Diceros bicornis minor: one gene and its partners. The protein of the gene in region 1 purifies or fractionates together with the protein of each later gene. This does not show direct contact. Links are inferred from orthologs where the notes say so. Each region holds a gene or a part of one and is shown on either strand. Other genes may lie near its edges.

Region 1 (7,690 bases):
TTTATCATTAATGAGACTGCGACACAGTTGCATGTCAATACCCCTGGGGCCATTGATTTTCATTTCACTCTTCTCCACTAGAACTTTTTTTGGGTGGGGGTGGAGGGTGGTGGTAGTGATTTACAAATATCAACATGCATATTTTGGCAGAACTGGGTAATACATTCCTACCGAATCAGAATCTCTAGGATCAAAACCCTACATCAGAAGTACAGCATATGCAATGCAGACCACTTTAGATTCACAATCCCTTTTCCCAATGAGCTTGGACAATGGTTCCAATACCGACACAACCTAGCACACATGATTAATTCTATAAGTAATTTTGCCCACAGAGACAAGTGTAAATTGCAGCTATAGCATTTGTTAGTTCCAGCTGTATTGGAATACATTATTCTGTTACATTCACCTACTTTTTAATTTAGTTCAGTATGTAACCTAACAAAGCAAACTGATTCACAAAGTGATAACTGAGTCTTTACTAGAGTCAAAGTCAAGTTTTTACTGGAATTAAGACCAACACCATTAAATGGATTTAAGAGATTCTCTTACCTCCCAAGGCCTGCAACACAATGAACAGCGATACAACAACCAGGTTCTTCACGAAACTTAATTTTCACAAGACTTAACCAGTCATCAACAATCTGGTTGGACGGTGGTGCACCATCATCAAAAGGCCAATCCTAAGTCAAAAGAATATTTAAGCATTTCAGATTTTTAATATAAACATCACACTAATAATTCTAAATTGCTAACACCCAACTGTTTTCAAAAGCATTTTAACATATGTAACCGTGTTTTACAAAACCCCACTGTCAATGAAATGCAAATAAATGCTGAATCTTTAAAAAGATCTATTACTTCAAACCTTTGCTTAGCTTTCACTTTATTTGGAAATTAAGATACTGCATAATTTTGTAACAACTTAAATTAAGCTTTTTTTTAAAAATATTTAAATCCCCCCCCCTTTAATTTTATGTATTTATTTTTTTTCCCCCAAAGCCCCAGTAGATAGTTGTATGTCACAGCTGCACATCCTTCTAGTTGCTGCATGTGGGACGTGGCCTCAGAATGGCTGGAGAAGCGGTGCATCGGTGCGCGCCCGAGATCCGAACCCGGGCCGCCAGCAGCAGAGCACGGCGCACTTAACCGCTAAGCCACGGGGCCGGCCCTAAATTAAGCTTTTTGAAGTCAGTGGTTTATTTAAATAAACTTTTGTAGCACAGTATCATAAACACATAGAAACTATTAAATACTTACGAGAACATGGATGCCTTCTTTCTCCACGAGAGTAGTGTCATAAGTTGCTTCACAAACTCTTACTATTGTGGTAACTCCATACTTCTTAAGTTCCTGGATAAAACACACATAAAAAAACACTTAATGAGGTCTTCATAACCACACCACTACTGGTCACCATTCGTCATTTTGATCATCTCTCCAACAGGTATTGCTGGTTAACAGAAAATCATGGAATAAATGGTATAACTTATGTATGTTTAACAGGGAAGGGAAATCGTGTTTTAAATGACAATACTAGAATAGCACAAAGGGAATGTTAAACATCACGTATATTTTAATAAATCAGAAGTTTTGTTTTTGTTTTAAATCCTGTGGCCCTTCACATACTAAAATTGTTTACAGTCATGGTAATACTGGTTAGACAGAGATGAAGCACTAATAAAGGAGGATTAGAAGTAATGCAGGGATGAAGGTAAACAGAACAAAGGAATCACTAACAACTATAAATCACGTGACTTGACTCAATTATACTAACTCCTTAAACTTTTTGCTCATTGGCAGCACAGTGTGTAATTCAAAGCCTTAAAAGTATATTCAAAGACTCTAAAATCCCGAAAACAGTGTAAAAAACCCCACACCATTTCCAACTACAGGCTTTTAAGACTCAGAATGGATTATTACTAATTACGACTTCCAGCATTTAAAAAACATACAGATGGTAATCAAAAATAAAAGTATTTCTATGATCTGGAAGACCTAATTGTTGTCTCTGAGCATCTGTAGATATTTATATAATAAAATGTGTATGCATTCAAATAAATTTCTTAGCATTACATTCCTTCCTTGTAGTCACAGAGGTAGGTAGTGAAAGAGTTCATCTAGCAACCATCAGCAAGAAGCAGAGCTAATGGCTAAAAATTTGATTCTAAGTATCAAATGGGGTCAAGACATAAACTAACTCCGGTTTACAGTATTAGTCATCAGGCTAAGCGGATATAGGAACAATCCATAACCAGCAGCCTTCCTCCTATATATGGCTTATAAGGTAAGGGAGAGCCATACTGTTATAGTGTCCACATATAAATTTAAATTAAGCAAATTTTGAGGCCTGAAGAACTAGATACTAACTTACAAATCCAAACTAACTCAAGCACATGTCCTTGTTGAAATGTATACATCAATTCACCTCTAACAGAAAGACACTGACATTTCATTTCTGGGACTTAGAACTGTAGGCATATCATCTCAAATTTTCCAAAATAATATTTATTTTGGTAGATAAAAAGCCCCACTATTAAACTGCAATCAGTTTAAGACATTAAAAAGTATCAAATCTTACCTCTATAAACTTGTTTAGGGTTGCGTTGGTTGGATTGTGTGTAATGAGAAATCTCATGTTCTTGTATGTGACTTCCACAGGAGCTGGGCGGTTCATTCGAGCCATGTTAATTTAGTTTAAAAACACTCAACAGGGTTATGAAAGAATTAAAAAAACTGAATACAGAAATGATGCAAAGAAACTGAGTCTACTTCAATATACTCCACTCGAAATTCTCAGTGCTTTGAGTATGGAGCTGGGAGTAATGGGAAATGAAATGAACCTCCTAACAAGAAGCAGCAATTCTTCAATCCAGTAATACTGAGGCAACAGAAAGGAAGTGCACTGAGGTTTACCCCATCCAGGTCAGAAGTCTTGTCAAATGCTCTGTGGATTTCAATTCCACACTGTGTCCAGGTTAACCACTCTTATGGGGGCTTCTTGGTGGAGTAGTAATGAATTTCTACAGTTCACTTGTCTGCATAGAGGTCGTGCTGTGCCTGGCAGTAATCTCCACTGCCCTTCAGAAACTCCATAAATGTGTGACCAAGAACACCACAGAACTGCTGTTTAAAAGAGAGAGAGAGAGACAAAAAAAGTTGTTTTCCAATTCAAAAGGAATATGTTAGGCATTTATAGTACTTAAGTGCACAACTACCTTTTGAAATTTGGGCCCAAGCCACCTTTTCAACTTTTACTGAACCACAAAACACAAGGGTGATTACAGATTAAATCAATAAGCATAAAGCAAGCATTCACAAATAGACTGCTTTAAATTGAAATTACTGATCCACTACAAAGACCCCTTAAAGAATACCACTGTTACATTTGGTCAATATCCCTTCTACAGATCCTTCTATTAATTATTCTTTTTAATGGTTGTCTGCTTTACATTGTTCTAAACTATATGTACAACTTTCTATATTGATTTTTCCAGCTAATAAAATATTTTTACACATCACAAACTTCATGAATACTTTCCAGCTGTTAGTCCTTGCATAATTTACTTACTCCTTTAAAGGCTTAACCAGTATATTCTTAAGAGAAAAAAAAGAAACTAGCTTTCAAAATGCTTCCATATACACTACCTCATCTGATCCTTAACAACCTATTAATTTATCATTCCCTTTTAACAGATTTTCCTCATTTGAGTCTCTAGAAGTTAGTCAACTTGTTATGTGAAGTATTACAAGGATATATGTTTATAAATTAAAAAAATTCTCATTTATAACTATAAAAGATATTCATAATGAGTAATATTCTTTTGTATTTTAAAACCAAAATTTCACTTATCCAGCCTAAAACTGGACTCTAATTCAAAGGGCAAAGGGAGGAGGTGGTAGGGTGGTGGAAGTCACCCTGCACCGTCCACAGGTCTCAAAAGCAAGGTAACTACTACCACCAACAAATAAATAGTATTTGTATTTTTCCCAAGCTCCCCTTAAGAGAACTAATTTTTTGCGAATATCAAACATTAACTGAATATTCATAGATATTCTCAGAATAGGTACACAAAACATCGACGTTAATGTTAATCTTCCAAAGAGTTTCTAAGAAGCTTGTGTACTTGGGAATAGAGAGGACTAAGAAATATTAGCAGCAGGTTAACAAGACGCAGCGAGCGCCAGCTGCCGCCCCTAACACTTTCCGGGTATGTATTCTCAGCGGTAAATCACCGAATAAACTAAATTCAAAGTATCTTCTCCTATTTTCATTTTACACCTTTAAATAGAGTTCCATGCTGGTAGTAGTTTCTAAAAGAACTTGGCTAAATTTTGAAGAATAATTCACGCAGAGATCTAGCAGATCACAGAAAACATCAAGTCAAAAACCCAGTTCATTTTTCTGTCAAAATAAAGTAACTAGCGGCAGGAGTCATTTCTTAAAACGTCATCCCACAGAGAAGAAAACTTTCGTTATCCCAAATTTGTTCAAATGAGCCCCCAAATTTGTTCAAATAAGCACTCAGAGGTTGTTACTTCATCTACTTGCTAGCTGGGTTAAAAACGAGTGACTAAACTACCATCAAGAACTTCCCGATTACCGTGAATAGAGACTGCAGTAATCTGGAAATAATTTCAATTATATTGTCACCTCAAATCCTAAATATTACTTCCTTAGAATAAAAAGTGTATTCTGGCACCTTTCCAAAGACATACAATGAATTAAGGAAGTCATTTGTAAAGCAGTTAAAGGCAATGACTCTTATCTCAGTATTCTGATTTCCAGGTAATATCTTTTTTCAACTGAAAGCCGATTTACAAAAGAGAGAGAATTTCAAGCCTATTTAACAGCTAAAATTCCTGTTGCAGCTGAGTCTGGCCATATCCCTTCAGGTTTCACCAGGAAGTAGAAAAAGCAATACAGAAATAATTCACTTAGTGAACTGGCTAGTCTTACTGAGTGGAGCCACCCAGCGGCTGGGGGGGACTTCCACCGAAGTAGCAGTGACCACTAATACCAACCACCTTCCTGTTCGACCCAAGACATTCTCCCAGTCTCATGTCCTCACCCGAGGAAAAACTATCCATCAGAGGCAGTTTGGAAGTACCAAGGAATTTCTTCGCCTCCCACTTATCAGTTGCATATAATCACAGTAACGTACACGGGGGGAGAAGAGCAACTTCTGTGCAAAGCTTCAGTCAGTCCGTCACACTGCAGAGTCAAGGCAATGAACCTGTAACCGCTCTGTCCCATAGCTGGCCGGAGACTCTGTTCCCCATCCACTTACACCTTAGGAAACGCATGGATATTAAAGCGTGTGCAAAATGCCGCTTACTCCTGGGAAAGATCTAGCTTTCTGGCTTTCAACTGATTTACCGCCACCCAACAAAATTCACATAAAGAGTAACAGGAAGCATTGCCTCAGAATCTGGATCCCAAGCAGGCCGACGGTTCCAACTGCAGCGCAAGTAACAACTTAATACTCCTGGAACGGTCGAGGCTCCCACCACGGACAGAAGACAAACCTCAGCCCGCTGGCTCCGGGCGGCTACTGTTGCCACCGCCAACAGGAGGCAACGACACAGCACGCGAAGGATTTCAGCAGCAGATCTCGACAGCCCCCGATTACAAGGCGCCATCCGGGGCCAGTCGCAGCTTGGCAGGGAGTGCCCGGCCGGGACGCCTGGCTCCAGCGCGACAGCAGCCCTGGCAGCTCCCCAGGCGCTCAGACCCGGGCCACTTCCCCACCGACGCGCCCCAGGGCAGGGACAAGACTCGACTTGTCCCCGTTCCCCGGAGCCCCAAGTGGGGCGTCCAATGCGGGACAGCTCGCACTACCAGGTGGGGACCCTGGGGCAGGGCGGGGCTCGGCGCCGGCGTCCTCACCTGGCCGAGTCCGCGCCGGGCCCCGCGGCGGTGGCGCAGGGAGCCGCCCGCGGCGCCCCGCAATCACGGGGTCGGCCGCCTCCAGCCGGGCGCCGGCGCCGAGGCCATCTTGTCGGAGCGCCGGCCGGGCCGCGGAGCACGGGGCAGGCTGCCCCGGCCGAGACCGTCACCGCGCGCCGGGCGCCCCGCCCACCCTCGCCGGCCCGGGCCGGGGGCGCCCGCCGGCTCCGGCCGCAGCCACACGCGCAGCCCGCGCCCCACCCCGGGCCACGTCTCCGCGCCCGGCGGCCGCTCCGCCGGCCAGACAAAGGGGCCCCGGGCCGCCGGGCCCGCCCGCGCGCCCAGACCGGGCCGGGGGCGGGGGCGCCGGTCACAAAGCGGCTTTTGTGCGCCCCGCCCGGCCGCTGCGGCGGCCCACACCGCCCCCGCCCGCCGCCCCGGCTCGCGGGGCTCGGGCCGGTGCCCCGCGGCCAACCGCCTCCCGCGGCCCGCGCCCGGCCCCCGGAACCGCGGCCCCCGGAACCGCGGCCGGGGCGGCGGGAGCGGACGCCGGGCTCCGAACAAAGGCGCCGGCGGGCCGGGGGCCCGGCCGAGCGGCGGCGGCGCGGCGGATACTCACAGCGATATGTTTACTCATTGAAGATTGTGGCCTAATCATACAGCCGGTCCCGAGGCGGCGGCGACGCAGGCGGCGGGGGCGGCGGCGGCGGCAGGGCAGGCGGCGGCGATGGTCGCGGGGCGGCGGCGGCTCGGCGGGCGGCGGCGGGGGCACCAGACTCTACCATGCAGCGAGCGGCTCCGCGGAGAGCGCGTCCCGAGCCGGCCTGCGGGCGGGGCAGCCAATGCGCGCGCCGAGGCGCCCTTGCGTCACAGGCCCGCCCTTTTATAGCCGGCGCGACGTGCGCCCCGCCGGCCACCAATCGCGGCCGGGCCCCGGGCCGGGCGCCGACGGGCGGGGGCGGAGCCCCGCCCCCTGCGGACGTCAGCGCGCGGCGGCCGCCGCCGGTGTGAACCGGTTGATGAATGGCGGAGCGCGGGGTGGGCGCGTGGCCCGGCCGGGGGCGGGCGGGGGCCGGGGAGCTACGCGGGGCGGACGGGGCCTGGGCTGCGGCGCGGGTGGGAGCGGGGGAGAGTCCGGTCTGTGGGTGGGAGGAATCACGCCGCACAGCCCGGTTCTCAGAGTTAAAACCAGCGGCGAGTGCGCACATGTCACATGGGGAGGCTTGAAGTTTGCCTCCAACTTAAATGCAGTCCCTGCAGGGCTGGGGCCGCGTCTCAGCCCGGACGCCGCTCGCCTGCCTTCACTGCACCTCAGTCACCTTTGCCAGCGGTTTACCTTGGCACCTGCGCCCCTGCCATCTCCGTCATCAGTGCTTATGTCGCATGACCGCCGTACTGGTGACTCAACACCTGGAATGCCCGGCCCGAGGCTCGGACACGTGGGCGCCTGTCGCCGGGGGCCCTTCCAGGCGGGGAGAACCTTCTCTCCGCAGACTGATCCCGCAGAAGACGGGAGCGAGTCCCGAGATGCGGATAAGCCCTAGCTGCCTACAGTCCTTTCTGGTCACGCCTCCGTGCTACCGACGGGCAGCTGCAGTCAACTGTGGCGTTTCGAAATCACATGCATCCTTTGTACTGTTGCTCACTTGATGTGTTGTCACAGGTAATGAAAGGTTAGGCACTGCTGAAAGGAAGCGCTTTGAAAATTAGGAGTCTTCGGTTTTGTCAAGGACTGATGTAATTTTCTGCGTCAAAGCTAAAGCTTCCTTTTTATTCATTTTCAGTGCTGTTGTCCCACTG
Region 2 (7,442 bases), on another chromosome or scaffold:
GAGGAGGCCTTTTCATAGCCCATGAACTGAAAATGATTAACTCAATCCTCTGTGCCTGTGGTAAAACCAACAAATAAACAACAATAACAATAGAGGGTGAGGGGAAGGAAGGAAAAAGGAAAAACATGTTTATAAATAGTTTTAATGAGGGAAAATACTTATGCCATAATGACGAATGAGAGGAAACAGAATAATACAATAGTAGGAACATTACAAGTGCAACTATGTAAAATAATGTATGTAAATGGACAAAAGTATGGACAAAGCTATAGGCAGTGTAGTGTAAAATCTTGACCACCAAGGTACTTAATCTCTCTGTAGCTTAGCTTCCTCATGTAAAGTGGAAATAATCATAATAATACCCACCTCCAAAAGTTCTTATGAGAATTAAATGTGTTAATTTATGCCTGATATCTAGTAAACGTTATGTAAGTGTTACTTGGTATTATTATTTTCCTAATTTTTTATACTGTAGACTCTGGACTCAGAGTCTGTCCAACCAACTGGGCCCCACTCCCCGTTAATGACGTGGCTTTCACAGTTACCCAATTAGAGCCTCAGTTTTCTCACCTATTGTGAGGATTAGAAAGGATAATGTACTCAGCACATAGTAAGCACTCAATAAATGTTAATGGATTATATTATCAGAATATTATTATTACATTGTCATAGTTTTAAAAGTAGTACAAAAAGGAATAGAAGGCACAAAATACATTTTTCATAGTCTTCCTAGTGTATAAATTCTTCCATTTTCATTAAATTTCATTTTTGGGTATAGTCTTCCCACACCTTCCTCTCTAGATGGGCCCCCAGATTATATACTTGCATGGCACTTTGAACATCTCCTTCATAGGAGTAATTAATTAATTAGGTAGGTAAGCAGTCTCTGGTTCATGTCTGTCATCCTCAGTAGACTCTCAGCTCCATCATGGCAAGGATGGTATCTGTTTATGCACAATGTCTAGCACAGGGCCTGGCACCGTGTTGACTAACAAGAATTTATTGAATGAATGAACAAGTAATGAAATAAGCAAAAGCATTTAACATGTATATTATGAAATAGCATAGTCATGAGATTAAAGGCAAGTATCATTTCCTCCACCTCTCTAGGAAGTGAGGAATTGCCCATCTTGGAAACTAGGAAGTGCTTATATTGTAAACTAGAAAGGTAGTCAACATTTAGATTCTGGGGAGCTATTTTTGGCAGCTCTTCCTTATTAGAATCACACTGCCTGAACCTGTCCCCAGGAATCCTTTCACTTAGAATAGAGCTCTGGAAACTCAGTACTTTTGCAGAATCTCTTATTCAGTAAAGGAAAAGTACTTAGTCTTTCTAGATTATCTTTCCCCAGTGTACATTAGCCCTTACTCACGGACTCATAAAAGGGTTGGGACCTTAAAATTCTCTTTTATTTCACAGATGAGAAAATGGGCCCAGAAAAGTAGATTGACTTTCCTAAGCCTAACACTTGTTAATAATAGAGCTGGTGCAAACAGAAATGAGATCATTCTTACAGTTCTCTCTCTCTCAATATAATATAATATAATGTAATATAATATAATATAGTGTAATATAATATATATATATCCAATAATGTAATAGTATCATTCACTAAAAATTACATTTATGGGGCTGGCCCTGTGGCCTAGTGGTTAAGTTCAGCATGCACTTCAGCGGCCTAGGTTTGGTTCCTGGGTGCTGACTTATACCACTCATCGGTGGCCATGCTATGGCAGCAACCTACATACAAAATAGAAGACTGGCACAGATGTTAGCTCAGGGTGAAACTTCCTCAAGCAAAAAGAGGAAGATTGGCAACAGATGTTAGCTCAGGGCAAATCTTCCTCAGCAAAAAGAAAAAAATTATGTTTATGAAAGTTTTTTTTATTACATTAGGAAAAATGCTCTTCATATGTTAAGTGACAGAAGCAGACCAGAATTGTATGTATAATATGTATTCAATTATAGAATACAGAAATATATGAGGGCATACATATGTGTGTGTATTTCTCAGTAATCTATGTAGAAAATAAAAAAGCGTGTCAAAATATTAACAGTGTTTATCTCTGGTTGGTGGGGATATAGTTTATTTTTATTTATGCTTTTCTGCAATAAATTTTATTTTCAATGAGCATGTAATACTTTATAATCAGAACTTTAGGTTTTTTAATTCCTGATCTAACGTTTTTGAAAAGTTTTATTTTGGTACTGGTCAGCACTGTGGTGTGAGGGAGCATCAACCTAGAATCCAAATCAGTTGCACCAGTCATTTAACCTGATCTATAAAATGAGTATAATTAAATCTACTTCACAGGGCCATTGTGCACGTGAAATAATAAATATGAAATTCCTTTGCAACTCTAAAGCTTGATAAAGGTGTTAGGTGGTATTATGTGGATGATAAAGGCCCGTGATCTAAAAGAGGTGGGAGAGCCCTTAGGATAACAGCTTTGTGCTGAGGAGCTTATGTTGGCAGAGGAGAGAGATCTAAGTGTCAGGAGAAAAGTGAGAGATTTTTTGCCAACACTTACCAGAAACAATCACATGCCTTACCCCACTTCTCCCCTGTATATCCCCTGTACTTCCAATAAACGCCTCAATGTGCCCTCTTCAGATGAAATCTTCTGTCTGTCTCTTAAGCAGCCTAGGCAAGAGGCAGCTTGTAGTGGACAGGATCTAGTGTATTTTAAGGCGATGGCAGGTTTGTTTCCCATTGCCTGCAGAGTGTGAAAGGCAGCCTATGTAGGAATGTGACCAGCAGCCTACTAAGGCCTTTCTAATCCCCAACCAGAAAGAGGCTCTTTCCACTCCGGATGATAAAAGTTTGTTGTGAAAAGAAGGTAACTTTTAGCTGGACCATTTGTATTGAGCTTTATTCTTTGCAGGGCTTTCTTTATCTTTGGGGTCTCACAAATTCTATGGAAAATAAGATTTCACACACAGCAATTATTTTTAAATTAGAAGTGCCAAAGTAGTATGCCAAATTATTGTTACTTTTATATTTTAAAAAGTAATACAGACCTATGGTAAATTTACCCAAGAGAAATGAAAACGTACGTTCACACAAAATCCTGCACATGAATGTTTATAGCTGCTTTATTCATAATTGCCAAAAACTGGAAATAACTCAAATGTTCTTTAACCAGTAAACAGATAATCAAACTGTGATACAGCCCATATAATGGAATATTATCCAGCCATAAAAAGGAATGAACTATTGATAAACACTACGACATGGATGACTCTCAAATGCATTACGCTAACAAGGTAAGGGAAGCCAGATACAAAAGGCTACACATTGTATTATTCCATTTACATGACATTCTGGAAAAGGAAGACTATAGCGGAGAACAAATTAGTAGTTGCCGGAGGATGAGGTGGGGGAGGGGTTGACCACAGAGACAGTAAGAGGGAATATTGGGGGGTAATGGCAGTATTCTTGATTGTGATGGTTACATGAATATGCATTTGTCAAAACTCATAGAACAGCACACCAAAAAGTGAATTTTACTATAAAAATTTTCAATAAATGCATGAAAGTAAAAATAAGGTAATACAGGCCCACGGTAAATTCAAACAATGCAAGGAATTCAATCAAAAGTTTCCCTGCTAGATCTTTGTAATGATAGAATAATTCTGTATTTTGATTGCAGTGATGGTTACATAAATCTACACGTGCGATAAAATGACATAGAACCATACTCACACATCATACCAATTTCAATTTCCTGCAATTTATATTCTACTCTAGTTAAGATGTACCCATTGGGGGAAACTGGGTGGGTGACGGGTACTGGGATCTCTGTATTATCTTTGTAACTTCTTGTTCATCTCTCTCTCCCTATATTTTAAAGTATCTTTCAACCAAACTTCCAGACTCTAGTCCTGCTCAGGAGGGGAACACTATTACAAATTTCTTGTGTATCCTCTGTATGTTAAATCTAATATTTTATATATGTATACATGTACATATAAATTTATACATGAATACTTTTAGCACAAATAGTAGCATATTATATACATCCTTCTGCACCTTGTTATTTTTCAACTATTACTTTGGAGATTTTTCCATATCACAAACACATGGATACACTCATTCTTTTTTTCTGGCTGCATAGTATTCCATTGCACAATGGTATTACATTCGAATCTTAACAAGGAATTGAATTTAAGTAATTTGGAAATTTTTGAAACATGAAAGGTCAGTTGGAGTTGAGACCAAACATAAAGTTTTCACAGATTCAAGACTTGCCTCCAGAATACCCTTTGACCAGAAGGGGGAACGCAAAAGGCAGGACAAGAGGCGAAATGCTGGGAAATTGCCTCGGCCAATGGGGAAGCGGTGGGCCGGCAGGGAATTACCGCCGGGTAGGAGTCTGCGGAGGGGCGCTCTACTGCTGGAGTGGAGGCCATGCTCCAAACCAAGCTTTCCCAGCTGCATCTCAGATACACCGAAGTGTGTTAGGGTTATGCAGTGATGCGTGAAGAGCTCCAGCCTCCAGCGGGGACCACCTGCCCAAGCAGGGTCTGAACCTTCACCGCCTCCAGCCCACGCGCGCAGGGGGCGTACACGTGCTGACCTGCCCCAGGCCAGTTCCCGGCCCCGGCTCCTCCTCCCTCCAGCTCTTGCTCCGCTTTCTGCAGTATCACGTGCAGCCGCGCCGGGTGCAGGATGGCGGCGGCGGCGGCGCCAGCAGCGGTGGGTGTCAGGCTCCGGCACTGCTGCAGCCGAGGCGCTGTGCTCCTGCTCTTCTTCTCCCTGTCTCCTCGGCCCCCAGCCGCCGCCGCTTGGCTGCTGGGCCTTCGGCCCGAGGACACCGCTGGAGGCCGCGTGTCCCTGGAGGGGGGCACCCTGCGCGCGGCCGAAGGCACCAGCTTTCTCCTGCGCGTCTATTTCCAGCCCGGGCCCGCGGCGCCTGCTCCTCTGGTGCCCGCACCCACCCTTTCCCCGGGGGAGAACGGCACCGGCGACTGGGCTCCGCGGCTCGTGTTTATCGAGGAGCCCCCGGGCGGGAGTGGCCTGCTGCCCAGCGCTGTCCCCACGCGCTCCCCGGGGCCGCAGCGCTGCCGCGAGCAGAGCGACTGGGCGTCGGACGTGGAGGTCCTGGGGCCCCTGCGCCCCGGAGGCGTAGCAGGCTCTGCTCTAGTCCAGGTGCGGGTGCGGGAGCTGCGCAAGGGCGAGGCAGAGCGGGGCGGCGCGGACGGTGGCGGGAAGCTCTTCTCGCTGTGCGCCTGGGACGGGCGCACCTGGCACCACCACGGCGCCGCCGGCGGCTTCCTGCTGCGCGTCCGCCCGCGGCTGTATGGCCCGGGCGGGGACCTGCTGCCCCCCGCGTGGCTGCGGGCGCTCGGGGCGCTCCTGCTGCTGGCCCTGTCCGCACTGTTCAGCGGCCTGCGCCTGAGCCTGCTCTCGCTGGACCCGGTGGAGTTACGGGTCCTGCGGAACAGCGGCTCAGCCGCCGAGCAGGAGCAGGCGCGCCGCGTGCAGGCCGTGCGCGGCAGGGGGACCCATCTGCTTTGCACCTTGCTCCTGGGCCAAGCCGGAGCCAACGCGGCCCTGGCCGGCTGGCTGTATGCCTCGTTGCCGCCGGGCGTCGGGGGTCCGGAGGAAGACTACGGTGAGGCGGGGATTCACTTCCCGTGGCTGCCGGCGCTCGTGTGCACCGGCGCCGTGTTCCTGGGCGCCGAGATCTGCCCCTACTCGGTGTGCTCGCGGCACGGGCTGGCCATTGCCTCGCACAGCGTGTGCCTGACCCGGCTCCTGATGGCGGCCGCCTTCCCTGTGTGCTACCCACTGAGCCGCCTGCTGGACTGGGCGCTGCGCCAGGAAATAAGCACCTTCTACACGCGGGAGAAGCTGCTTGAGACGCTGCGGGCTGCGGACCCCTACAGCGACCTGGTGAAGGAAGAGCTCAACATCATCCAAGGCGCCCTGGAGCTTCGCACCAAGGTGGTGGAGGAGGTGCTGACCCCCCTCGGGGACTGCTTCATGCTGCGCTCCGACGCCGTGCTCGACTTCGCCACCGTCTCCGAGATCCTGCGCAGCGGCTACACTCGCATCCCCGTGTACGAGGGCGACCAGCGGCACAACATTGTGGACATTCTGTTTGTCAAGGACTTGGCCTTCGTGGACCCTGACGACTGCACCCCGCTTCTCACCGTCACCCGCTTCTACAACCGGCCCCTGCACTGCGTCTTCAATGATACCAGGCTGGATACGGTGCTGGAGGAGTTTAAGAAGGGTGAGCAGTGGTCTATCTCCTCCCTCAACTCCTACCCCCTTCAAAAGTATTGCCCTTTCATAAACATGTGAGGCTTCAGTACCCAAAGCAACTTCTCTGCTACGGTACCAAAAACTCAAGGAAGGCCCATCTCATGGCTCCCTGGCTCTTTTTATTTCACTTCTCCCTACCTTTTTTGCAGCTGCCTGAGCCCCTGGACTCTTCCTCTTTACTTGGCTCACAAGATGTGCCTCACTCCCGGTTCCTCATTCATTCTATTCCAGTATTTTTTCAGGGCCTAACAGTTGCCGGGTATTGTGCAGGTTGAACTCAGGGGATAGCCCTTGGATGGGATTGCATGGCTCCCTATTACAGGAAGAACCTCTGCAGGTTCCCATAACAAGCAGCCTTTGCTTTAAACTCCTACCTGGGTGGGAAGCTCACCATTTCCAGGGCAAACTGACTCCATTGCTGGACAGCTCCAGCTGCTGACAATGTCTTTCTTACATGAAGCAGAAATTTACCTCTCCAGAATGTCTCTCTTGGTCCTAGTTCTGGCCTTTGGATCACGTAGATTCAGCCCCAGACACTTTAGGCATTCTCCCCTCATACTGAGTTTTCCATCAGCTATTCATTACACCAAGTACCCAGGTTGGAGATTAAAAGTTGAGTAGGACAGTGAGGTCCTTGTACTTCTGGGAACTGTGGTCCCACGAGGTAGGGTAGATCTGGACCTGAGGAAATATTCTGGTATAGGGACCCGTTAGAAAACTTGCATATCCAAATTAATGGGGTTTCCTTCAAAGCAGTCACCATCCCCCCCCTTGATGTCATGCCTATAACACATTTACTACATGTCTAGAGTTTCCCTTTAGAAACTGGCTTCTGGGGTTGAGTACAATTCACTCCAGAAAAATTGGCCTGGATATTTTAGAGTTGATTACAGGTGGCATTACACATGTGACTGATCACCCTAGTTAGCCAGAGCTGACACTGGAAGACCTTTGGTTGTTTTTGAAAATCAGATCTACCTTCAAGAGTCACCATTGAGAGCATTCAGAAGACTAACTCACAGACCCTGAAAGCAATTCCAGAAATGATTTGAGAACAGTAGAACTTTCCAGAATGACTATTTTGAAGGAGGTATTCATCTGTATATATGAGATGGCATGTTTATTAAAAACAAAACAAAACAAACATCAATCCCCCGACTTTAGAAT
Region 3 (7,983 bases), on another chromosome or scaffold:
TAGGGAAGAGAAGAAAAGGAAGAGGCAGAGGGTGATGGACTACTTTGCAAAAAAACAATCTGTTTTTCTAGGCGGAACTTCCATTTTCTGCTTTATACACCCTGTGTTATTTGACTTTGTTGCAATGAACACGTCTAACTTAGCAATTTTAAAAGCCCAGTAAAAATATAAAAATACACAAATGAATAAATGAACGAAACGTAATGTGAAAGTCTGGCCTGGGGAAAGGAAAAGAAACATTTACGGAACAGTGCTTTCAAACACGAGCTCATTTAGTCCTTTTGATACGGCGAAAAGGGTCTCTTGATCCTCATCTTAAAAATGGAGAAACCAAACGCCCTAAGAGGTGAAGAACTTTGCCCCAATTCACCAGCTGATAAGGGATAGAGCCCATGACATTTCTGCTACAGCCTGTTCCCATCTGCCAACTAAGAAAAAGGGGCAGAAACTAGGGACAATGACTCCAAGAACTTTGTTTTCAAGCCTTTGTAAATACTACTCAGTGTCTGTCATCTTGCTCTTTCTTGTTTTTCTCCAGTGATTCACAGTTAATATCTTCAAATAAAAAAGGGTCTTTGTGTTTTCAGAGGCAGAAGGAAAAGCTTGCTGGGGTAGCCAGTCTTGGGGACAGAGGGTGCTCCAGCGCACAATAGGAAGAGGGAAGCAGAAAGGAAAGAGAGCAGGCAGAGTCCTGGGTCCACTCAGACCCTCAGACCCGGTGCTACGTGGGACTCCTCCCAGGGGCCTTAGTGCAGCAGGGGCTTCCTGGCAGGCCTTGCCTTGCAGGGTTGTTAAGTTTTTTCAATCCCAAGTGACAGGCTTCCTTCTCTCCCAGCTTGCCAGCCTTTGCAGCCTGAGCCTCTTGGTGCTGTGAAATAGCACGATAGTCCTTTCGCCTTCCCTCCACCAGCTCTACCTCTGCCCCAGCCTCCTTTCTTCACTTACAGTGGAGGCCCAGGTGTCCAGATGTGGTCTTGCTTGGTCCTTGCTGACCCACCTCAGCCTCCTTTCTTCCCCCATAATCCCCTACTGATTTTCTCCCTCTGCAGGAAAGGAAAGGGAAAGAACAAAAGGCTGTAGCTGAAGCTGGATGGAGAGACATAATGGAGCTAAGGAAAGTTGAGTGTCCTCTAAAACTCTGGGCCTCATCATTTCCATCATCATCATGGTTACTGATCACGTTTACTGAGCTATTACCACGGGCCAGGCATCCTCTCTCTCAGCACGCAAGAATGTCCCAGAGTCCCAGGTCACACAGGCAATCTGTGGCCATGCCAGCCCTGCAGTGTGCCTCCAGAGCTGTGCCTGAACCCCCATGGTGGGGCATCCTGCCTCCCATGGTCCTGTCCCAAAGGAGGACAATTTGTCCTATGGCCATGGGAGCCTTGAAGCCCACCCAATTAATACAAGCTTCCTCACCTTTGCTGCTCCGGCATTTGACTCCCTGTCAGAGGCACATCCTTTTATTGGCCTGGATTCGCTGACATGATGTTTTCATCCCTGCTTCAGGCTCAGTGAAGTGTCTGTCCCAGGTAGGAATCATGACACCAGGTCCTCATGTCCCCACTTGCTGGGATGATCTGAGTTGGGAGTTGAAAGGCACCATCCCAGCTAACCCCATGCCTGCTCCGTCCCTTTGTGGAGGGATGACTGCCCCTTCCCTCTTGCGACACTTGAATGGCATGGATGTATCTGCAAATATCCTGCTCAGGGTTATTGTCCACTTACAGGCAGGCAGTGAACAGGCCACTGTATGTACTGATGATGGCCCAGGTTTCACCCTGAAAAGGTGTCCCACTGCTCCCAACCAGGCTCTCGCACCCCAGGGTCCATGGCATCCGCTGAGGGACTCTGCCCAGAGTGGGGCCATGGCAGGCCTCAGCCTCTGAACTCCACCAGCAGACAGGCAGCTTCTCTGCCAGCAGCTCCCCATCTTGGAGACCCAGAGGTTGAAAAGGGCTAGGAATCCAGCCTGGGAGGATCCCAGACTAGAGAGAAGAGCAGGAGATCCCAGGTTACTAATTCGGGACCTTGTTCATCATCTGATCCTCAATGTCAGTGCAACGCTGGGTACAGAAAAGGGGGCCATAAACCTTCAAGGCTGTCTCTCTGCACAGGACCAGATGGAGTGGGCTCAGTCACAGAGGCGTAGATGTGCTGCCACAGGGCCTAAACCTGGAAAGAACCCATCAGGTCCAAGGATCTCTGAATGGAGTGCTTTGAGATGCTGAGGTACCAGATCCTTCTGAGAAGGACCTTCCCAAACCCCTTACTTGCAAATGGAGGCAACTTAGGTGAGTAAGGGCCTCTCCACCCAGAGGCAGAGAAACAGGTCTGCTCCCCAAAGAAGACGGCCTTCTCATTTGCAGTCACTGTCTGCCATTCGCACAGCCTGGCTCACAGCAGCCACACACACATCCAGGCTTCCCCACTCTTCATATTAATAGACCTCCAACTCCATGTTGCCCCCAGCACTCTGTGGGAGAGGTTTTTCAACTCTGCTGACCTGGAAAGGTTAAATGCTCTAACCAGGGATGCAAGCCTGGGCCTCCAATGCCTCCTCCAACACTCTCCACGTCATACTGCATTCACCTTTCACTGAGGGATTCTTGTCTCCTCCGCTAGATTGAAGGCCCTGGGAGGGCAAAGAGGAATCTCATTTCTTTACTTCGTTGATTGTCCTCTATTTACCTCATCACAGATGTGAATGTAATCACAGATGGGTATAATTAAATGAACTTCAGCAGAGACTGATTTTTCCTACCAGACCCTCATCACCCCTCCCACTTTTAACCCAAGTATCTTAAAAGCTTATCTTTTCCTTCCCTTTGCGGGCTTCTGTCTTTGGACTCAGTGCACATGTAGAGAGCTTCTGAGTAGAGACAGTCTGAAAAGGGCAAAATAAAAATAGCCAGTGGGTCGATAATGGAATGGGAAAGTCTCTAAGTACAGTGGGGGAGGGCACTCATCCTAAAGCCAGCTGGAAAGAGATGGGGGGGGGGTGGGCAGAAGCCTCCTGCGGAGCCGGGCTTGCTTTGAGGCAATGCAGGTGGCTCATCTGGTGGGTGGAGGTGGGAGGGAACAGTCGCTCAAAGGTTCTGCTTTCTGCTTTTGTTCTGTCTGGGCCAGTGCCCACCCTGAAGCTCCTGTTCCCTACAAAACTAGCTGGCTGGACCCTCACTGTGGAATATGAAGTGAGGCCCCTACGTGCAAGGGACTGCTTTCGGCTGGGCTAGTATGCAGAGCCCTCTAACCCTGCTAACAGTGCTTCATTACATCAGGCCTCTGCCACCACGCCTCCTCCCATAACAGTATATGATTGTTCCTCTCTGTTTAGACTCTTTCCGGCTGGTATTGATTGTTGCTTTTATTGGCAAACAGCATACCAAATAAAAATAAACACAAGTGTTTGTGCAGAGGGAGATTAAAGGGGATTCTCTGTCTCCAGGGCTGGGAAAAAACTTGCTCCGAGACCCAGTGGTCAACGTGGTCCCTGAGTCTTCCCTCAGCGCACCTCTGCAATTATGCTAGGGATGTTTGTTTGTCTCCTTCCCCCTACAGGGCCGGCAGCTGCGGGCTTCCCCACACACCCTGAGTTTTTGGCACTTAATTCATAGTAATTCATAGCTGCCAACTGACACCGCGGTAGGGCCGTCCAGGAAGCAGTCATCTCAGGGCTAGGCTGGGGCCGCGCCTCTCGGCTTGTTTCCACATGCGGCTGCCCCAGATGGCCAGTCACCCCCACAATTTGGGGTTAGGGGTTTGGTCCCGGAAGGGCAGGCAACAGCAACAACAACAACAACAACAACAACAGCTACATAGCCAAAGAACATTTAGAGTTGTCCTGTCGTGTTTAACACCTAGGCCACAGGCTTAGTGAAGTGGTGCTGTGGTACAATTCTTACTCTCATTTTACAGATGTAGAAACTGGGGCTGAGAGACCCTCGAACTTGCCTTCCCAAAGTCACACAAGCCTGCCCCTAAGATGACGATCTCTAAGGACCCCAATCTCTAAGGACCCTGATGTGTGCCTAGACTCAATTTCTTCATCTGTAATATGGAAATAATAACACTACCTCTTAGAGTTGTTCAGAGGATTAAATATTATGTATGTGTTTGTTTTGCCTGTTTTCTTCTCTAGACTGTAAACTCGGGCGGGTAGGGACTTTGGCTTATTCACTGCTATATTGTCAAAGTCGGGAACAAGTGCCTAGCACACAGAAGCTCAATATTTGTGTCCTAAATGGAAACGACATGAGATAAGCCAGGCCAGACCCTGGCCCTTCTATCTGCAGGTACATTGTACATCCTCAGTTCCCAGATTGGGGCTGGGAAAAGCCACTGCTGGCCTTGGGACAAGGCCAGCAAAACCCCCAGGAGTGCGGAGGCCAGAAAAGTCTTCAAGGCGCTGGCTGCAATGCCGGTGGACTTGCAGGCCTCCCGCAGGCCTCAGCCCTCAGGTTCCTCTTTTCTTTTCTTATATCAGGAAAAGCATTTTCCTCGCCGAATCACAACGTGGTGTGGCTTCTGAGGTTCCTGCAGAGAAGGGCCAGCCGCCCCGAGCTGCAGACTTCTGCGGAAGGGGAACGGGCAGAGCACGCCAGGCCCGGCCAGGCTGCGGACGAGGGACGGCGCGGCCCCGAGAGCGAGTCCGGGCGCAGGAGAGCGCGACTCGCGCGGAAAGGCGGGCGAGGAACGCGCGCGAAGAAGAGGGCGGGGCGGGCGCCCGCCGGCGGCTCCCGCGCTCCGGCGCCGCTCCACCTTAAGCGCCGGACCGCCTTAAGGGCGGGCGCTGGAGCCGCGCGCCGGGGGCGGGGCCTCCCATGCAAATGAGGGGCGTGGGTTGGCGGGGCGGGGCGGGCGGGGCGCTGACCTGACGTCAGGCCCGCGGCCCGGGCAGTTGGCTCGGCGGCGGCGCAGCGGCAGGAGCGGCGGCGCGAGCGGGGCTGCGCGGCGGGGCGCGGGGAGCGGCGGCGGCCGAGCCGGAGCAACATGGCGCCGGTGGGCGGGGGCGGGCGCCCGGGCGGCGGGCCGGCCCGAGGGCGCCTCCTCCTGGCGGCGCTGGTGCTGCTGGTGCTGCTGTGGGCGCGGGGGGCCCGGGGCCAGGGCGACCCCCAGCGAGGCGCGATCCTGGGCATGAGGCTGGCGAGCTGCAACAAATCGTGCGGCATGGACCGGGATGGCATCATCTTCGTGTCCGAGGGCAGCACGGTGAACCTAAGGCTGTACGGCCAGAGGCTGGGCTCTATCTCCAGCAACCTCATCTCCTTCACCGAGGTGGACAACTCCGAGGCCGTCCACAACTCCACCAGCTGCCCCGAGCTCACCAAGGACCTGGTCGTCCAGCAGCTGGTCAACGTGAGCCGCGGGAACACGTCGGGGATGCTGGTGGTGCTCACTAAGTTCCTTCGGAGAAGCGAGAACATGAAGCTGTATGCACTGTGCACTCGGGCCGGGGTGGACGGGCCCTGGCAGAGGTGGACGGATAAGGACTCGCTGCTCTTTATGGTGGAGGAGGCTGGGAAGTTCCTGCCCCTCTGGCTGCACATCCTCCTCATTATGGTGCTGCTAGTGCTGTCGGGCATATTTTCTGGCCTCAACCTGGGGCTTATGGCCCTGGACCCCATGGAGCTGCGCATCGTGCAGAACTGTGGCACGCAGAAGGAGAGGCGCTATGCCCGCAAGATCGAGCCCATCCGGCGCAAGGGCAACTACTTGCTCTGCTCGCTGCTCCTGGGAAACGTGCTGGTCAACACCTCCCTCACGATCATTCTAGACAACCTCATCGGGTCTGGACTCATGGCCGTGGCCTCCTCTACCATTGGCATTGTCATCTTTGGGGAGATCGTACCTCAGTCCCTGTGCTCCCGACACGGGCTGGCTGTGGGTGCCAACACCCTCATTCTCACCAAATTCTTCATGCTACTCACCTTCCCCCTCAGTTACCCCATCAGCAAGCTGCTGGACTTTTTTCTGGGCCAGGAGATTGGCACCGTTTACAATCGGGAGAAACTGATGGAGATGTTGAAAGTGACAGAGCCCTATAATGACCTCGTGAAAGAGGAGCTAAATATGATCCAGGGCGCCCTGGAACTACGGACCAAAACTGTGGAGGATATCATGACCCAGCTCCAAGACTGCTTCATGATCCGCAGTGATGCCATCCTCGACTTCAACACGATGTCAGAGATTATGGAAAGCGGCTATACCCGCATCCCTGTGTTTGAAGATGAGCAATCCAATATTGTAGATATTCTCTATGTCAAAGACTTGGCCTTCGTGGACCCGGATGACTGCACTCCCCTCAAGACCATCACCCGCTTCTATAATCACCCAGTGCACTTTGTCTTCCATGACACCAAGTTGGATGCCATGCTGGAGGAGTTCAAGAAGGGTAAGGCCTGAGGCAGTTCTCCTGGTTAACTTTTGTCACCCCTCTCGTACTCTTGCCAGTTTTGTGTCTGCTGCTCATAGTGTTCCTTTCGTGTGACCTTGTGTACCTTTGCCCATCACCTCTTGTGCCTCTGAGGTGAACGGTATTTGGGACAGCAAAAACAGTTCTTAAGCGTCTGCTGTCTGCCAGGTACCGTGCTTTGTGCTTCAGGTGAATCAAAGCTGAGTGACACACCTGCCCACTTGGAGGGATAGAGTAAGGCCTCATGGAGCTGTTGAAGCGAGACAGAGTAAGGCAACAGCAACTAGAAGGATGTGCAACTACGGCAAACAACTATCTACTGGGGCTTTGGGCGGCGGAGGGGGGGGGGGCGAGGAGGAGGAGGATTGGCAATAGATGTTAGCTCAGAGCCAGTCTTCCTCAGCCAAAAAAAAACAGGAGGATTAGCATGGATGTTAGCTCAGGGCTGATCTTCCTCACACACACACACACACAAAAAGACAGAGTAAGGCAAATGCCCAACACCAGGGCATGGAGATTAGAGCCCAGAGGGGCGCATGTGACTGGGGTGGGGAAGGAGCTGGGGAACTGGGAGAACCTTCACAGGGGAGGGAGCATTTGAGGACAGACTTAAAAGATGGGGAGACTTGGTACCTGAGGCAGAGGGAACCCCATGAGCCGAGAACCTGAGCAGGGGAGCAAAGGATGTGCTTGTTGCCCAGCAGGTGGTCCTGTTCAGCTGAGGATAGGCTCTGCTGATCTTTGTCAGTGAGGGAGAGGCTGAGTCATTAGCGGCCTTGTGAAGAGTCTGAAAGGATGGTAAGTTTGCTTGGAGCTTGGAGCTATGGAAGGTTTCTGAGCAGGGGATTGCCGTCACTGGAGCTTCTAGCCCACAGAAGCTGAATTGGGAGGTCTCTAGTTGGCTCCCCACTCAGAACAATGCCAAGTAATGCTTTGACTATTCAGCAGAAGCAAGCAGATTAAGTTTTGGTTATTGTTCTGTCTTTCCCAGGCGCCAAACATAAGCTTCTCTCCTGCGGTCTGCTGGAATCTTCAGCTGGCCTTGCATGGCCTTGTGTTTTTTTCTCACATGGCTTCTTGGCCAGTTCTCAGGTAGTTAGAGAGGCGCTCGGAGGGTTTGAGGGAGCCTCAAAGCTCAGGGCACACACCCCTTTCCTTACTTCCAACAAAACTTTCCTCCCACCTCTGCCCCTCTGAAGCCCTCGGCGTGGCAGTAAACAAGCCAATTATAGAGTAAAACCCTCCTAGGCCAAGAGGAATGAGGAGGCAGAAAGGGAAACTCTTTATAAAGGAATGGGGTGCAGGGGTGCTCATCCTAGACCCTGAGACTTTGCTTCATTTCCCATAGGTAGAGCTCCTGCTGGCTAAGACCTAGGTCAGCCTGGGAGCAAGCCCCAGACCCTTGTCAGTTGTTTCTAGAACAGTGGGTGCAGGAGAGCCTGAAACTAGCTGGGTCAGTGGGTGATGGAGTGGGCTAGGGAGGAGCTGGCTGGCCTTGGCAGATTTGGTCTGAAAAGATGCCAGGATGGGGAGTTGGTACCCTGCCTTTTTCAGTTTCACAGACTGAA
Region 4 (6,936 bases), on another chromosome or scaffold:
CCTCGTTCAGCCTACCATCATCTCTCATCTGGACCCCCCTAAACACTGGTCTCCCTACTCTGGTCTCCTCACCCGTCAGTGACCTGTGAAAACCACTCAGACGGTGCCGTACTCTGCTCACAGTCACGGCCCTGGCGATCAAGTCCACCCCTCCAGGGTCTCAAGATGGGAGGTGGCAGGGGCGGGACGGAACCCTCCCCAGTTGACTCCAGGGCCAGCACTGCTGGCCACCAGGCCACAAGAACCACCACTGCCTCGGAAACTGCAGTGGCCCAGATGGAGTACTTACCACCAGAGGCTGTCTGGCCCCCACTCCAGGCTCCCCTGCCCAGAGAGGGGCTGCATGGCCACTTTCTCAGGAAACTGCCAGAAGCACCCAAGATATTCTCTAACAGAAAAATCAGAACTGCCCATCAAAGTCTCCCACCCCATCTGAAGGCACAGTAATAACAGTAACAGCCTATTAACACCCAAGTCTCCTGCAAGGATTACAGGAGATGATGTGTGAGAACACCTACAAGTGGCTGGCATACAGCAGTGTGACAGCAGGAGTAATGGGGTCATTACCACAAAGCCTTGCCTCCCTGCCCTGACTGTCCAGGGGCTCAGAGAGCACCTCCCAAGCCCACCTGGGGCCAGGAGACATCGCAGCTGCCAGAAAGATCAGAGGGTTCTGCTCACTTCCTGGCCTCACATTATGCAGCCTTTAGGGTCAGGCCCACCCAGAGTCCTGGGATGTCCCCCATGCCCATCCTGCAGGAGTTCAGATGTGAGAAGCAGGGCTGGCCACCAAGGAGCAGCCAGGATCTGGAGAGCACACCCAAGCCTGACAATGGAGAGCACTGCAGAGGAACTCACACCTCCACACCGGGAGGGTGGGTGTCAGTTTTTACCTGCAACCTTAGAACTATTTAGATAGACCAAGATGAAAGGAGAGGGTGAAAAAGTGGAATTAAGGGGGAATTTGAGAGCCCTTACTCAGGATTAGAAAAGAGAAAGTTAATAAAAAGAGAAAGAAAGAAAAGAAGACAAAGGAAGGGGAGACTATATCCACATCAACGAAGTTGCTTTTGGTGAAATCAAAATGGAAGTTTCTTCCACACCTGCAGAAAAGCATTTATGAGTCATTCCCTTTTCTGTACTCAGGAAGGCAGCAGCCCTTCAGTGACCTTAACAACGATACCCTGGAAACATCACCAGCCCAGCTAATTTGATACCATATGTGTGCAGGTAATTGCGTCCAGATATGTGCAGACTGTACTCTTTTCTATGTTCTTTTAGTTTCCACCCAAGAGTGTCAACCTGCTACAAAGACAAAGCCCACAAAAATGACCTGGGAAAGGGAAATAGCTGGGGGTCAGAGCCAAGTGAACACACCTCCCCAAACTGGGGGCCGACCAGGAAAAGGGGGATTTTGCTCTCCGTAGCACTGTCACTCTCTGAAAGACAGCCTTTTATATATTACAAAAAATCATTGAGCTTCAAGGCCATCCTCTTCTTTAAAAGAGCACTTAGAGATCTCACTGCCCTCCAGAGGGATGGAACCCCTTCCTCGAGGCTTCCATAAACTCCCACTCCTTTTGTAGGGGAGGCCGCTGGCATTCGAGTCCCCTCCGCGATTTCCCGGACGTTACCTCGCTTGAACTCCTCCAGGACGGCGTCCAGCTTGGTGTCGTTGAAGACGAAGTGGAGTGGGTGATTGTAGAAGCGGGTGATGGTGCTGAGCGGCGTGCAGTCTTCGGGGTCCACGAAGGCCAAGTCCTTGAGGTAGAGCATGTCCACGATGTTGGAGCGCTCCTCCTCGTACACGGGGATGCGCGTGTAGCCGCTCTGCATGATGCTGGCCAGCACGCCGAAGTCCAGCACGGCGCTGGCGTCCAGCATGAAGCAGTCCTCGAGCGGCGTGAGCACGTCCTCCACCGTCCGGCAGCGCAGCACGCCCTTGCTGAGATCGCTGTAGGGGTCTCCGCCGCCGCGCGCCAGCTCCAGCACGCGCTCACGCAGCCGCCCGGGCCGCGCCGCCAGCTCCAGCAGCTGCCCCACGGGTAGCGCCACGGGCAGAGTGAGCAGCACGGCCAGGCGGCTGAGGACCAGCGCGCGCGGCGCCAGCGCCAACGCCCAGCGCCCGCTCACGGCGGCCGGCACCACCTCGCCCACCAGGAACACGAGCCCCGCGCTGCCCAGCACGGCGGGCAGGGCGCGCTGGCCGGCCGCGCGGTACAGCAGCACCGCCAGCGCCGCCTGCGCCAGGCTGGCCAGCAGCAGCAGCGCGCCCAGGGCGCAGCCGGCCCAGCGCCGCACGGGCTCCAGGCGCCGCGCCGCCACACGCTCCGCCTCCGAGCCGCTCTCGCGCAGCACCTGCACCTCGGCCGGTGCCAGCGCCAGCGCGCTCAGCTGCAAGCCCCGCGCCAGCGCCGCCAGCGCCAGCAGCCCCGCCGCCCCCAGGCCCAGCGCCCAGGGCGGCGCCGCCTCCTCGGCCGCCGCCCCGCCCGGCTCCGCACGCACGGCCAGCAGCGCCGAGTGCGGGCGCACGGCCTCGGCGCGCAGGCGCAGCAGCGCGCGCCCCTCGCCCGTGGGGGCCGCCGCCTCCTCGGCCGCCGCGCCGCCCGGCTCCCCACGCACAGGCGGCAGCGCCGAGCGCGGGCGCACGAGCTCGGCGCGCAGACGCAGCAGCGCGCGCCACTCGCCCGTGGGGGCCGCCGCCTCGGGCGCCAAGGCCGGCCCGCCCTCGGGGCAGCCCGCCCCCTCGGGGGCCACCCAGGACCAGGAGCTGTTGGCGAAGCCCGAGCCGAAGAGGCGCAAGCGGAAGGTGGCCTCCGGCGCGGCCCGCACCTCCCCTCCGCTCGCCCACCCCGCGCCCGCGGCCCTGTCCTCCTCCAGACAGACACCCAGCACTCGCGGGCCCGACGCCGCCTCCCCGGCGGCGTTGCCCAGGCAGAACGCAGCGAGCAACCAGCCTAGCCGACCCGCCGCCGCCGCCGCCGCCATCGCCTGCTGCCCCCTCTCGGCCTCCCGTGCAGCCTACCCCGCCGCCTCCCCCGGCCAATCGTCGCCAGCCTGGGCGCCTCCTCCGCCAATAGGCGGCTGGCGGGGGCGGGCCCCAGGGTCGGACTAGGCTGCGCCGGGGAGTAAACAAGCGGCGGCGCGATCCCGGGGCGCGCCGGGGGCGTGGGGCTCTCGGCCCCGCGGGGCTCGGCCGCGGCTGCTGGGGCCAGAGGTGGCCTCGGACAAGAGGACGCAGAGCGGCGAGCTGGGCCGCCTCCGCGGGCGTCTGGTCCCCGCGGGCCGTCCCCGCGCGCCGGCGGCCGGGCTCGTGCTCTGGGAAGTCCCTGGCTGGGGACTGCGGGCGCCGAGCGGAGCGGCTTGCAGAAAGATTCCAGTGTCCGGGAGACACTCTGTTTTCTTAGGGCAGGGCCCCTTGAACCACTGACCTAAAGAGCAGGGAGGGCTGGAAGAAGGACCGGTGACTGGGCGTCGGGAAGCTAAGGATTATTGAAGATGCTTGTTGACCGTGCCCCACTCTGCTGTAGGTCTGGGGACCTGGGGACGTGAGACACCGCCCCTGCCTTCAAGGAACCTGCGTTCCTGCCGGGGAGGATGGTGAATATGTAAACGTGCGAAATCACGACATCATTGGATCCTCGCAGCAACTTCGTGTTATTAATATTTTACGGGAGAAAAGGTGAAGCATGACTCGGCATGGATGCTGGATTACAACGCGACCTAATACCCTCGTCACCATCCCAGCCCCATTAGGAGACGGCAGCTCTGTCAGGAATTACTGTGTCTGGTCGCTCCACTTCTAGCAGATCATCCTTGGGAAAATAACTCCACAGGACCACGAAGAACTATTCAAGAGACTCCTCATCGGAGAGTTATTTTAGAAGACAATATGGTCCGTTGACAGTGTGGAATGTCTTTTACCCATTATATATGATCTTTATGTGGCTGGAAGGAAATAGACAGACTGCTAACAAGGCTTCTCTATGGGTGTCCAGATTAACTATTTTTGTATTTTCTTTACATTTTTATGTATTTTCAAATTTCCTAACATAAGTAGACCTTGGTAAGACTTCATACACATCATTTACAACGATCTGTGTAAGGATTCTATAGAAACACATTTGCTATGTCATGAAAATAATATAAAAGACTATAGGTACTGTGGCCACAAGGAAAATGTTTGTGTGGAAGGTAATGTGCCAAAATGAATAAACCCATGGTGAATGACCAAAAGAAAAAATTTCTTGTGAAAAACTCTTAAAAGGATGGCAATAGTGTCTCTTCTACACTGTAAACTCAGCACGGTGACTAGACCAGCCACATCTCCATGTTTCCAGTTTTTATACCCCAGACGGTGCTACACCCTTTGAGTAGTGTGCCTTAACTTGCAGATTACAGAATAAGCCATCAGCAGAAGCAGTTATGACACCACTGAGCCTTTCCACTGGATCAGCATGTCTCCTTTGAAGAAAAAAATAACGGATTCAGCCCCTTTAGTTCTCACTTGTGTCTCCAAATCTAGATAAAATGCTGACATTGAGATAGAATGGATCACAGGCTTGAAAGGAGTCATGTGCCTGAAAAGTTACTAACTAGCCAAGAACAATTCCAGAGGAAAGACAGGAAAACTCCCTATGGATTTAGACAGGGCTCTGACCTTTGCCAAGTTATGTTTTCCTTGGTCTCAGGCTCCCTTGGAAAACAACCTATACCTTGTTTTTGGGGGAAAAGCTTGGAGTAGAAGAACAATTGGGTCACATTTGGAAAACACAAATGGTCATTAAACTGTCTGTACTCAAGGACAAAGAGTCCAGTACAGGGCAAACCAAGCTGCGTGCAGAGTGACTTTCCAACAATAGAGGCCTCAACAGTACTTCACCAGCCTTCTTCCTTGGCTCTGTGCCACTCTTTGCCCCATCCCCTGGATAGTCACAACATCAATGGAGACACTTGCCACTTGACCTTCAGGTCCCTCGTTGACCCTCCCTGGGCCATTTTCAGTACTGGTCATTTGGTTCAAGACATTTCCATGTTTTATCTAAATATTTATTCTTGAGTCCCGCCCCCCCAAAGCCCAGCAGATAGTTGCATGTCATAGCTGCACATCCCTCCAGCCGCTGCACGTGGGACGCGGCCCCAGCATGGCCGGAGAAGCGGCGCGTCGGCATGCGCCCGGGGTTCCGAACCCGGGCCGCCAGCAGCGGAGCGCGCGCACCCAACCGCCAAGCCACGGAGCCGGCCCCTATTCTTGAGTTTTAAACCCATAACTATTGTGTGTGACTTCACTGGCCCATTCCTGCTTATCAAGTCTGCAAACGTTACTTCCTCTAGCTGGTCTCCCTCGACCATCTTGCCTAGGTTGCGTCCAGGTTATGGGAGCTATGTGCTCCTCCCCAATAGTATTCAGTACTTACCTTATTGTAAGACCCATTCACTCATTCATTCAACAACTATTTCCTGCATTGAGTGCCTGCCATGTACCAGGTACTGTTCTAGCGCTGGGACTACGTGGGAATAAGGAAGTCCCCCCCCTCCTGAAGCTTAGGTTCTAGTGTGGGGACAACAGAAAATACATAAATCTGTGTTTTAATATCTGGCAATAAGTGCTATGGAGAAAAACAAGGCAAGATATGGGGACAGACAGAGGGATTAGGGCCATGCTGTTTTAGATGGGGTGACCAGGGAAGGCTTCTCCAAGGAGGTGACATTTGATCAGAGGCTTAGATGAAGTGAAGGGGTGAGGCTCACCAAGACCTGGGAGGAGTGTTCCAGGTGTAGGAGACAGCAAATCGAAAGGTCCTTGCGTGACTCCCTCAGAGGGGTCTTCCTCACTGGGCTTATTGAGGGGTTGGGGGCAGCTCGAGTATAGCCGTGGAACAGGTAGATGGATGAAACTGACTCTTGCCCACCTATACACAAGCTTCTGCGTGAGTTATTCCTTTTGTCTGGAATGTCCTCTCTCTGCCTATACAAGCACCTCCCTTTCTGTAAACATTCCCCCCAATCTGCCTGCTCTGTTAAACCTGGCTTGCCTGAGCCCGTGGCCACGGCACCTGTGGGCAGCGCAGGAGTCTGCACAGCTGAAACCTCAGAGTGGAAGCAGTGAGGTCGCTCTCGGGCGGCTCTTCAGGGGAGGAGTGCTCCCACTTTGACACCACAGCCTGCCCATGAGTACGGACCTTAAAGGCAACTGCATGTTATAAAACGTGATCACACTTTCGGATCAAGCTCCTTTCTCCTCCAGCCCCCAGGGGGAGAGAGAGGAATTTGCCCATGCCAACTGCTCCCTCCAGTTCCTGCGGGCAGAAGACCCCATGACATCCATTTTACAGGATTCCTGACTGTGGCAGTTGAGCACGTTTGCCCTGTATGTCTCATAGCAGCTGGAACGCTCTAGCTCCTGTGACAACAGCCTTGATTATATAATTTTGTAAATAACATTTCTGCTTCCTTTTCACTGTTAAACAGTCCCAGAATACCTGTCTCTTGCCCTGTCACAGGTGACAGCCAACCATAGCCACTTCCATCTCTATGACAGGCACTGAGTATTGACAGAACTCGAACAGTCAAATGGCAGACTCACCAAGATTTCGTATCTCATTTTTTATTACCAATCAAAAATAAATTCCATATATTGTTTAGCAAATATTATCATTGTTTTGTGACAAAAGACACAAGAGTCATAACAACAAAACTCCCCGAGAGTCAAACTCATAACAATGCCAAAATAAATCACAAAAATATACAAATTAAAATCTTATGCAAAATAAATACGAGTTATTTGCTACGGTGGCTGTGACTTGCCTACCCATTTGGAGGCCATTTGCGAAGGTCTCCCTTACACAGGAAGACGCGCAAGGAGGGCCAGCTTCAGGGCACGGCTCAGCCCAGGAACCAGAGGTTGGAATAGGAAGTGACAAATTGCACTGGGAG

What was found.
Region 2: the proteins of PTP4A1 (region 1) and CNNM1 purify together in Homo sapiens (affinity purification with mass spectrometry; 4 studies listed by BioGRID and IntAct, with this or other methods). This does not show direct contact. The link is inferred for Diceros bicornis minor from reciprocal best matches to the Homo sapiens genes PTP4A1 and CNNM1.
Region 3: the proteins of PTP4A1 (region 1) and CNNM4 purify together in Homo sapiens (affinity purification with mass spectrometry; 6 studies listed by BioGRID and IntAct, with this or other methods). This does not show direct contact. The link is inferred for Diceros bicornis minor from reciprocal best matches to the Homo sapiens genes PTP4A1 and CNNM4.
Region 4: the proteins of PTP4A1 (region 1) and CNNM3 purify together in Homo sapiens (affinity purification with mass spectrometry; 6 studies listed by BioGRID and IntAct, with this or other methods). This does not show direct contact. The link is inferred for Diceros bicornis minor from reciprocal best matches to the Homo sapiens genes PTP4A1 and CNNM3.

The regions. Positions count from the first base shown.
Region 1 is NC_080753.1:7,766,427-7,774,116, forward strand, and holds the start of PTP4A1 (protein tyrosine phosphatase type IVA 1), read right to left. Parts: upstream 3,015-7,690; 5' UTR 2,687-3,014; coding exon 2,582-2,686; intron 1,354-2,581; coding exon 1,261-1,353; intron 684-1,260; coding exon 553-683; intron 1-552. Other genes in the region: uncharacterized LOC128125822 homolog, read right to left, coding at 3,031-3,126, 6,510-6,548. UniProt on the Homo sapiens protein: Protein tyrosine phosphatase which stimulates progression from G1 into S phase during mitosis. May play a role in the development and maintenance of differentiating epithelial tissues.
Region 2 is NC_080745.1:64,801,953-64,809,394, forward strand, and holds the start of CNNM1 (metal transporter CNNM1), read left to right. Parts: upstream 1-4,438; 5' UTR 4,439-4,673; coding exon 4,674-6,243; intron 6,244-7,442. UniProt on the Homo sapiens protein: Probable metal transporter.
Region 3 is NC_080779.1:15,849,111-15,857,093, reverse strand, and holds the start of CNNM4 (metal transporter CNNM4), read left to right. Parts: upstream 1-4,977; 5' UTR 4,978-4,992; coding exon 4,993-6,394; intron 6,395-7,983. UniProt on the Homo sapiens protein: Probable metal transporter. The interaction with the metal ion chaperone COX11 suggests that it may play a role in sensory neuron functions. May play a role in biomineralization and retinal function.
Region 4 is NC_080779.1:15,808,355-15,815,290, forward strand, and holds the start of CNNM3 (metal transporter CNNM3), read right to left. Parts: upstream 3,014-6,936; 5' UTR 2,989-3,013; coding exon 1,635-2,988; intron 1-1,634. UniProt on the Homo sapiens protein: Probable metal transporter.